Linked DNA regions of Mus musculus. The protein of the gene in region 1 purifies or fractionates together with the protein of each later gene. This does not show direct contact. Links are inferred from orthologs where the notes say so. Each region holds a gene or a part of one and is shown on either strand. Other genes may lie near its edges. The genes, in order: Acvr2b and Inhba.

Region 1 (4,473 bases):
CTCTCCTTAACACACACACACACACACACACACACACACACACACACATGCATGCACACATACACATACAAACACACATATAAATAAGTAAAATATAATAAAAATCTTAAAAGAAATAGAAGATACACTTAGCAACGTGAATGGACCCTAGTGACATCTAAGGAGCCCCTCAGCCCTCTGCTGTTAAAGCTGCCCAGATGTGAGATGGAGGGTGCTGGTGGCACGGGGCATATGGAAACATATGACTGTATGTTGGATGCACATAGATACAGGCAAGAGAGCACACACACAATCAATCAATAAACGAACGAAAAATAGGAAGAGTCACAGATGGACTGCGAGCTCGAGGCCACCTGAGGATTACATAAGGAGAGGAAAAAGACCACATTTAAGAGCAAAGGTTGTCAGACAAGGTGCAGACTTCTTGGGAAGCTGAGGATCCCTACCTCAACACCAAAGCCGTAGCAGAAAGAAACTCTACCCAAGTCTGGAGGACTTCAACACCGTCATTTTCATAAGGGAAGTCCGAGGCTCGAGCAAATGAAATGACCCAGGCTGGGGGGGGGGGGCGGCGGGGGGGAGCGTCCTTCCTCCTATGACCCACTGCTCTTGGTGAGGCAGGAGGTAACTATCCGAGGATTCCATAGCATTTTTTTCCCCTGAGTAGTGACTGGCTTTTCCAGTGTAGCTGGGAGGCCGATTGCTCTCACACTCTGATTGTGTAACATCTGAAATGGAGGGATCTGGTGTGTGTGCGTGTGTGAAAGGAACAGAGGCATGTTCTGAACAGATCTTTAGAGGTGGGAGGAGTGCTGAAGGTAAGATGAAGGATGCTGGATTGCTGAGGATCCTTCAGAAAGCAGGTCGCCAACAGTTCTTTCCCACCTGCAGCTGCTCTGTGGGTCCTCCTCTGCTTGGAGATAACTGTGCGTGCGTTGTGAGGAACTGCTGTCAATTCAGACTTCAGCGTTTTCCTGCCAATTAATTAGCCCATAAATGGGAGCTGGAGGGCAGAGGTCCTAGGTTATGGGGACCAGGAGCTACCCACTCACTCAGGGGTCCCAGAGGAGCGTGCATCCCGTAGCGTGGGCTCCATAGCACGGGGCAGGAAAGCACCAGCCAAGTTGTGGGCAGTCCAATCCCACCAGCTCGGAGAGCGCGCCCCGCCTAGCCCTAGAGTCTGGTGCTGCAGGCGCGCTGTCTCCAGAGGGCGCGGGCTGGGGGGCGGAGCCTCGGTGTTGTTGTTCCTCTCCGGCCCCGCCCCCAAGGGGGGCGCGGACCACGCGGCCGGAGGGCCCGCCTCCCCTCCCCCTCCCCGCCCAGCTCGCCCGCCTCTTTGTATCCAACATCCGGGTTTCCCCGCTGGCTCGGCTCCGTGGCCACCGCTCAGGAGCCATTTTGGACTCGGTTCAGGTCCCCTCCCCCACCCCTCCCCCGTTCATGGCCCCTCCGGACTCGGCCCCTGCGCCCGGGGCCCGGGCCCAGCCCCGTTGCGCCATGCCCGCGTCGGGCGCGCCCTGGCCCGCGCCCCGCCGCCGCCCCCCGGCTCCCGCGTCGCCCCATAGCCCGGGCCGCACTGCGCGCCGCCCGCAGCGGCCCTGAGCCCCTATCTCCGCATACTGCCTGGGAACCGAAGCGCAGAAGCGCGCGCTCCTGGAAGCGAGACCCAGAGAAGGAGCGGGAAGCAGAGCGCAGCCGCCGCCGGGCCCTGCGCGCCCCGGGAGCGCAGCGCGGCCCTGCCCGCGGGCTCCGGGTGTCCGCGGGGCGGCGCCGCGGAACATGACGGCGCCCTGGGCGGCCCTCGCCCTTCTCTGGGGATCGCTGTGCGCCGGTAAGGACCGGGCGCGTCGTGGGGGTGCAGGGACCTGGGGCGCGCGGTGTTTACCAACAAAGGGCGGCCCCGCGGCCTCGGCGCCGCGCCACCTGCCTGGGATCGGGGTCGCGCGGGGCGCTCTGGTGCTTGCGATCTTAGAGGCGAGCTCGCCCGTGCGGTTCCTCTGCGCGATTCTGGCTCGCAGAGGTTCTAGGTGATGGGGGAACCTGGAGCGTCAGGGTCGGGGTTCAGGTTCCGCGGGTGTGCGGACCCCAGGGATAGAGCGGGGAAAACCTAAGCGTGGGGAAGGCGGCCAAGCGGGGTGGGCATCTAATTGGGGGCGGCTGGGTTGGGGCTGCTCGCCCCTGAGAGTCATAGGTGTCGCAAAGCGAAGCGGACGGCTTTCCATAGCCCGCCCGGAGTCCTCTGCATCCCGTCCCGCCACTCCGCGTCGCGATCCTCATGCGAGTGGCTCCTACCTGCGCCCGCTTTTCTTGCAGCGGGCCGCAGATGCGCCCTCGTGGGACCGCTTTTGTTTTGGGCAACTGGGAGTGGAGAAGGGTTGAAGAGGCGAACCAACAGGTCTCAGATCGCTTCGGCCGGCACGTGGCGGGCGTGAGTGACCCGCGGTCAGCTCGCAGCCGCCTGCGGGCTGTGGATAGCTGGTGCGCGTCTGCTTGGGACTAGAAGGTGTGGGTGTGTACGCACGAAGTTGTGTTGGGAAAGCGCTTTCTCCCCCAAAGCCTAGGCACTGATTTCTGTGTCCCGATGGTGCTGAAGCGTGCTCAACTTTGTAGGAGCTCCGGGGCGGGCTTAGGGCAGTTCCAGGAAACGTGGACAGTCGGGCATTAAGACTCCAGAGAAAAGATCGTGGAGATTAGGACGGCTGGTGCCCGGTGGCTGGGGCTCTGGGTCCTGCGCGTCTTTGTTCCCAACCCCCATTACACATGCAGCTCGGGTCCCCTGCGGCCCGAGGTGGCAGCAGCGCGGAGTCTGGGAAACCCGCGAGGGGCGGGGCCCGGAGTGTAGGGAAGGGCTGGGATCCCCCTTGCAGCTGCGGGGGTGGGTATCCCAGATGGTCATTGCACCCCCTCACAGGGATCCTCACTTTCAATCTTTTCTATTACAAGGTAGTGAGGGTTAGCTGTTAATTCCGACCCCGAGAGTTTTTGCACGAGCCTGGGTGCGGTGGAGCATGAGTGTACGAACCAGAGGGCAGAGATAACTTCTTTGCTACCCGAGCCCACTGTTGGGAAGCGGTTTCAGTGCTGTCCTGGAGTGGTAGAGGCAACGCGGTGCTCAGGGTGAACATTTTGTTTCTTTCTGCCACTCCCCGAAGTGTTGCTCCAGAGATTTTTCACCCCAAGAATGAGAGCCTGGAAGTGATGGAAAACAGTGGTCTGCTCCGGGGAGGGCGGCAGCAGGCTGACCCCAAGTTATAGGACCAACCTCTAGTCGGCTCTTGACTTACTGGATTTCTGCACCTGGACATGTATGTGCCTTGCCTCTTTTAAGTTTAGGTTTGTTGAAAGCATTGTCTCAGGACCGTTCGCCTCAGACTAGAAGTCTGTATGTACATCACTGCTCCTGTTTGTTCCAGTTTGACCTCACCAGTCACTTCCCATTTGGAGGGGCAGAGTGAGAGTGGATCCCTGGTACCACATTTGCTGCACTGTTTGGGGGAGTGCATAACGGAACACAGAGGCACGTGTTCTGACTCAACCTGTGGTTCTGCCTTTGGGGATAGAGTCACCTGTGTTGTGGTGGCTGCTGCTTTCTCTTTTGAGGAACTGGAGGAAAACTTTGAAGGGTTGGGGTAGAGCTGGCCTTCCTGTGCCTCTGGCTTCAGAGATCTTTCCTTCATGTTTCTGGCTTGATATTCGGAATTACTCAGCTCTGTGGTAAAAAGGAGAGATCTGTATATTGGTGCTGCCAGCGGGAACATGGGCTCGACAGATATATTCAACTTAAAAATTCCCAACAGCCCTGTTAGTAAAAGAAAGAAATAGCTGTGTCTTTAGTGTTTTCTGACTGCTTTCATACCGCAGGACTGGGTGGTTCAAACAGCAGTGTGAGGCTGGAGAGATGGCTCAGTGGTTAAGAGTGCTTGCTGCTCTTGCAGGGGACCCAAGTTCTAGTCCTAACACCTGAACTCTACTTCCAGGAGGGTCCCCTGCTGTCTGGCTCCGAAGAGAGCAACAGGCATGTGTGTGGATGGACACACAGACATAGTTGCAGACAAACACTCCTGAGATAAGTACAGTTAAAGTAGCCATATGTATTTAGAAACCAGCAGTGCTTATTTTAACATGGTTCTAGAAGCCAGGCCAGGGTGCCTTAAGAGAGCCAATCCTGCAGTCAGGATCCCACCCTCATGGTCTAATCCACCCTTACCACTCCCTAGAGATCCCACTTCCAAAGACCTGTATGTCTTTATTGGTGGTTAGGGCTTTGCTATTATGAATGGGGGGGGGTGCAGAGCCTTCCTCTTTGTCATCGTTGGATAGAATTAAGTTAACATGAAGATTAGTCATTTCAATATACATCACTATAATTAATGAGGCAGGAAAAAAAGTTTTTTTCCCCGAGACAGGATTTTTCCATAGAGCCTTGGCTATTCTGGAACTCGCTCTGTAGACCAGGCTGGTATGGAACGCCTA
Region 2 (4,601 bases), on another chromosome or scaffold:
TTAAAATCATGACTCTAACTCAGGGCTTCTCACTGTATAATCATTGCTAATTTTTCTAGCGTGGGCACCATCCTGTGCTGTGCATTGTAGGAGAGCTCTTAGCATTGGCCTCTGTTCAGTAGATGCCAGTGGCACCTCCTTCCTGGTTATGACAGCTGAACGCATTGTCAGATGTCCCGGAGAGAGAAACCAGTTCAGCTGAGAACCGCTGTTCTGGAGTGAACAACAACGCTTTACTTACGGAATTTTTCCTTCTTTTTCTTTTCCCATTTTTTAACTGTAGCATCTGGGGCCACTGTTCAGATGACAGTCTTCAATATCCTGAAGGCAGGTCCTCATAGACAGCATGAGGCCTGAAGGGATACTCAGGTGGTTCTGAGAAAAAATGTGAGTCTTAGGAATCAGGGAGTTTGGGGTTAACCGTCTCTTATTTGTTGTTTTGGATACAGTTCAGAGCAATGTGAATGCCCCCCTTTCCAGTTCGGTTTTGAACTATTCATTCTTGTTCTAGCTTAGAAGCACACAGCCCCCTAGTTGGATTTTTGACTGCAAAGTGCCGCTCCATCTCTGGCCCAAATCCTGGTATCTAACATTTGGCCCAAACTAGTTGCAGGCTGTGGCCTGTAGGAAACAGACAGGTTTGCCAACCCCATACTCTACCAAAGCCGTTTGATGGGATGGTTAGACAGGGACTTCCACAGTTTACTGCAGCAAATATCATTCAGAGTCCTGCCCATGTTTTCTGGATGTTGTGCTGTCTCTTGTGGGGGAGAGGGTAACCCTAACCAAGGAGGCCAGGTCTTCCCCCCCCCCCCACCACCCCTTAAGCCCAGAACAACACGTAGCTGATGAGAACACCTCAAAGGTTCTTTTCATTTTTATAGTCACGTTTCATGTTTACTTTCCCAGCAAGGCAGGCAGAAATCATGAATTTTTTTTTTTGAAACAGATTTTTCATAGGAAGGAACCAAACACCCTGAGTTATCAGCAGCTTGTCTGTGCCTCTGAACCACCAGCCTCCTGTCATTCAGTTGAATCAGAGGACACTTGTCAGTCACCTGCTTAAGGTGTCCACATTCTCTGGCTTGCATGTTTCACTGAATCACAGGATCTGTGAGCAGCAGCTAACCACAGAGTCAGAGTCGTGGAAAACGGCTTCCTTTCCAAGCCTGTCTCCTTGCTTCAGGGATAGTGAGGGAAGAGCGATTAATAGCCTGCATGAAAGCTTAAGGACATACGGTTTGCTTGAGAGGAAAAGTGAATATTCTCACGACTTGATCTCTGCCAACTTTATATGGGCCCAGCTGCTGCACAGGGCAAACACACTAGTCCAGAGTTAGCTATGCCCCTAAGATGTGTGTCACCACAAGCCACCGGCCAGCACTGAAACGCAGGTTTCCCTCATCCACACAAAGGAGCTCTATCCTCAAAGGAACTTTGTTTCTTGACCAGCTCACTAATTGTGATTGAAAACACCAGCTCCCCAGCAATGCTCACGCATCCGAGTTAGCAGAAACAAGACAGGCCCTAATTGCTCCATTTACATAAAAGTAGAAACATACAACTTCTAAATATAAATCTCTGGCACATCTCTTCTTTTGCAATTACAGTAAAATAAGGTACCAGTTTCCCTCCGGGCTCCTCCTCACAGCAAGCTGCTCCCGGGGTTCGCTAGTGGCTGCTCCTCCAGGCAGCACCGGGCCAGCGTGGAGTTGGAGCTTTGTGAAGTAGCCAGTAAATCAGAACGCCTCCGCTAGGTGCAGAGCGCGGTGGCAGCGGGCCACTCTGCCAGTGCGGTAGTCGGTGGGACCGAACTCTACACTCGGGAAGGGGCAGTCTGCGGGTGCGGGGCCTGAGCTGCCGCTCGCCTCCGTTGGCCAGGAGACCGGCAGCCCCACTGCAGGTCCTGGTCCCTGACATTCCCTGGCACCGAGGGCTGGGATCAGAGATTCCCGGCTGCACTCACTGAACAGTGATTTTTTTTTTTTCTTTCCCCTCCCTGAATTCTTTAGCTGCCAAAAGGGGGGGAAAAATCAAGAGCTGCGCTTTTAAACGAAGTTGCCCTTGCTGGTGTTCAGGGTAAAAATAGAGGCGGCCGCTTGGACCAGCTTGGCCCCTGAGTCCAGGCGTCCCGCGAGCCGGGCTGGAGCTGCGCATTCGGGAGTGATCCCTGGAAACTGCCAGCAGGTGCTGCTCAAGGTACGGTGGCAAGCTGAAAAGGGACAGGGCCTGGGTGCAGGGAGTCTCCGCGGGAGGGGCAGGAAGTGAAAGAGAAACCAACCCCGCTCAGAGCTGCGCTGACCAGCGCACGCCCTGGGCCCTGGAATTCAGCTGGGAAACGCTGATCCTCAGCCCAGAATATTCCACAGAAGCATTTTAACCTACCTGCTTCCTCCACCACCCCCACCTGGATTTCCATGGAGGAGAGGAGGCTTTCCCAAAGTGGTTCCAGCTCTGAGGTTGGGGGAGATTCAGCTACGTCATAGCTGCTAGACTGGCTTAGCAGGTTGGCACTTTCAGGGTGTCAAAGGCCAACAGGGTCTCAGAGTGACCCTGTGTGAGGCGGCCCCTGCAGTCAGGGTCTTGAACATTCTTATGACACACATGCTTAAGAAACTACAGGGATGCTCCGAAATAACATTCTTTTGTGACCACTGAGTTTTGATCCTGAAATTATACATCCCACTTTATAGATGGAAACACTGAGGCTTGAGTTTAAATTAGGAGGGCGCCCCGGAGCTGGGGTCTGATTCGGGCACTTTTCTGTGCCAAGCCAGTCTACAATCTACATTCGGGTGCAAGTGGGACTTTCCCTGAAGTTATGTGTGAGGCAAGAAATGAGTTTAGATGCTCAGGGATTCTTATCAAACAGCATGGAAGTGCCTCTCTTCCAAAGGTTTATGTTCACCCCGGGGTTGGGGTTGGAATGGAAATGACTATCACTGATTATCTTTCTGTCTTTGCCACCCATATTCCTGTCATTTTCCCCTGCAACTTTATTTCCTACTTCAGTTCTCTTATGCGGATCTTAGAATACTCCTTCCCCTTGCCCCTCCCCTTCCCCCACATATAGCTAGCATCCACACTTTGAAAGCCCTCAAGAGAGACCCTTTCACAGACAGCTCCTGGTGTCATAAAGAAACCTTCCCCACTTCACATCAGGAGACCAGAGCCTCTACAGTTTGCTTATGGGCACAGTGAAAAGTTTATTTTATGCATCTTAAATCCGGCACACGAAACAACATATCTGGTCATATGGCTTTCATTAGTCCCCAGTTTTGCACGTTTTATCCAACTTGTCATAAGAACCTGGTCAGTGCCTTAGCTGTACTTCGCCCCGAGAACAACAGCCCTTCTTCACTGTGCTTATCGGGGCATTCGTCTCTCTCTATGTTATCTCCCTGCCAGTGTGACCCAGGCAAAAGAAAACCCAAACCTAACTTTACTTCTATTTTAAGGAGAGTTCACTTCTTTTCATTAAACTCATATTTATAGTGTTTACAAATGATTGGACTTGAAGTTCTAGCTTTTAAAGAAAAGATGCAGGTGTGTGTGTGTGTGTGTGTGTGTGTGTGTGTGTGTGTTACTGTTGTTTTTGCTAGTTAGGATGGGACTCATCTAGGCAGGATACTTATGAAGTTCACTTGCAAAGGAAGACCATTTCCCAAGTCCGAGGTGATAAATGATGTATGAAGCAGGCATTCAATTTCAAGGTGTAAATTAATAGTGTGAGTCAAAGCAGGGAGACCATCACCACATGGACATACAGATTTTCCTGAAAAAAATATTTTCCTATAATCATAATTATAATACTAGAATTCCTATAAAGAACACTATGAATTTTCTTTGCTGTGGAAAAAATACGGTGCTTTGCAAATAGAAGTAACTTTATGAAGTAACAGATGTCTTATGTATAGACATAAGGCTGAACCTGAATCTAATAAGAGGTGTATGTATGAATAGTAAAATGTCAAAGCTGGACACTCTTGGAGATGTGTGTATGTGGTTCTCTTATGTTTGTAAAGGGTGGACTATTCCTAGCCACAGGCTTTACTGGCTCAGGACATCACCCAGGTCCTGTCTCAGAAGCCAAGAGAGATTTCCATTAGATAATGAATTATGAAATGTCTCACACTGGAAAAACGAGTCATCTGCTGATGTCATGCTGATTCTAACCAATCCTAAACAAAGCCCCAGCCCTCCTCTTTGAGAGGTACCAATGTGTGAGTGTACAACTAAGTACTACAGTATAAAACTTCACAGTGCCAATACCATGAAGAGGAATTCAGACAGCTCTGACCTCATGAGACAAGAGCCGGCTGACAAAACAGAAGGGACCCGAAAGGTAATGCTTTTAAATTCTTGCTTCTGAGCTCTCTACACATTAAAAGTCAGTATGGCTAAAAGGACTTTTACAACTTTTTGGCACCTCCATAGGCATTGTAAATTGTATCATTTTCTATTGTGCAGGCAGGTTAATACTGTTTTTTAATAGTCCTAGAGCATGCAAATAGATTGTGTTTATACAACCCACTCAGCACACATATACAAGTACATATGCCAAAAAGAAAGTTATTTTTAAGAGTTCCATTTGCAAACAG

What was found.
Region 2: the proteins of Acvr2b (region 1) and Inhba purify together in Homo sapiens (affinity purification with western blotting; 3 studies listed by BioGRID and IntAct, with this or other methods). This does not show direct contact. The link is inferred for Mus musculus from reciprocal best matches to the Homo sapiens genes ACVR2B and INHBA.

Annotation. Positions count from the first base shown.
Region 1 is NC_000075.6:119,400,767-119,405,239, forward strand, and holds the start of Acvr2b (activin receptor type-2B isoform 2 precursor), read left to right. Parts: upstream 1-1,411; 5' UTR 1,412-1,779; coding exon 1,780-1,831; intron 1,832-1,883; exon of another isoform or gene 1,884-2,027; intron 2,028-4,473. UniProt on the Homo sapiens protein: Transmembrane serine/threonine kinase activin type-2 receptor forming an activin receptor complex with activin type-1 serine/threonine kinase receptors (ACVR1, ACVR1B or ACVR1c).
Region 2 is NC_000079.6:16,010,188-16,014,788, forward strand, and holds the start of Inhba (inhibin beta A chain preproprotein), read left to right. Parts: upstream 1-1,663; 5' UTR 1,664-1,903; exon of another isoform or gene 1,904-2,012; 5' UTR 2,013-2,199; exon of another isoform or gene 2,200-4,263; 5' UTR 4,264-4,345; intron 4,346-4,601. UniProt on the Homo sapiens protein: Inhibins/activins are involved in regulating a number of diverse functions such as hypothalamic and pituitary hormone secretion, gonadal hormone secretion, germ cell development and maturation, erythroid differentiation, insulin secretion, nerve cell survival, embryonic axial development or bone growth, depending on their subunit composition.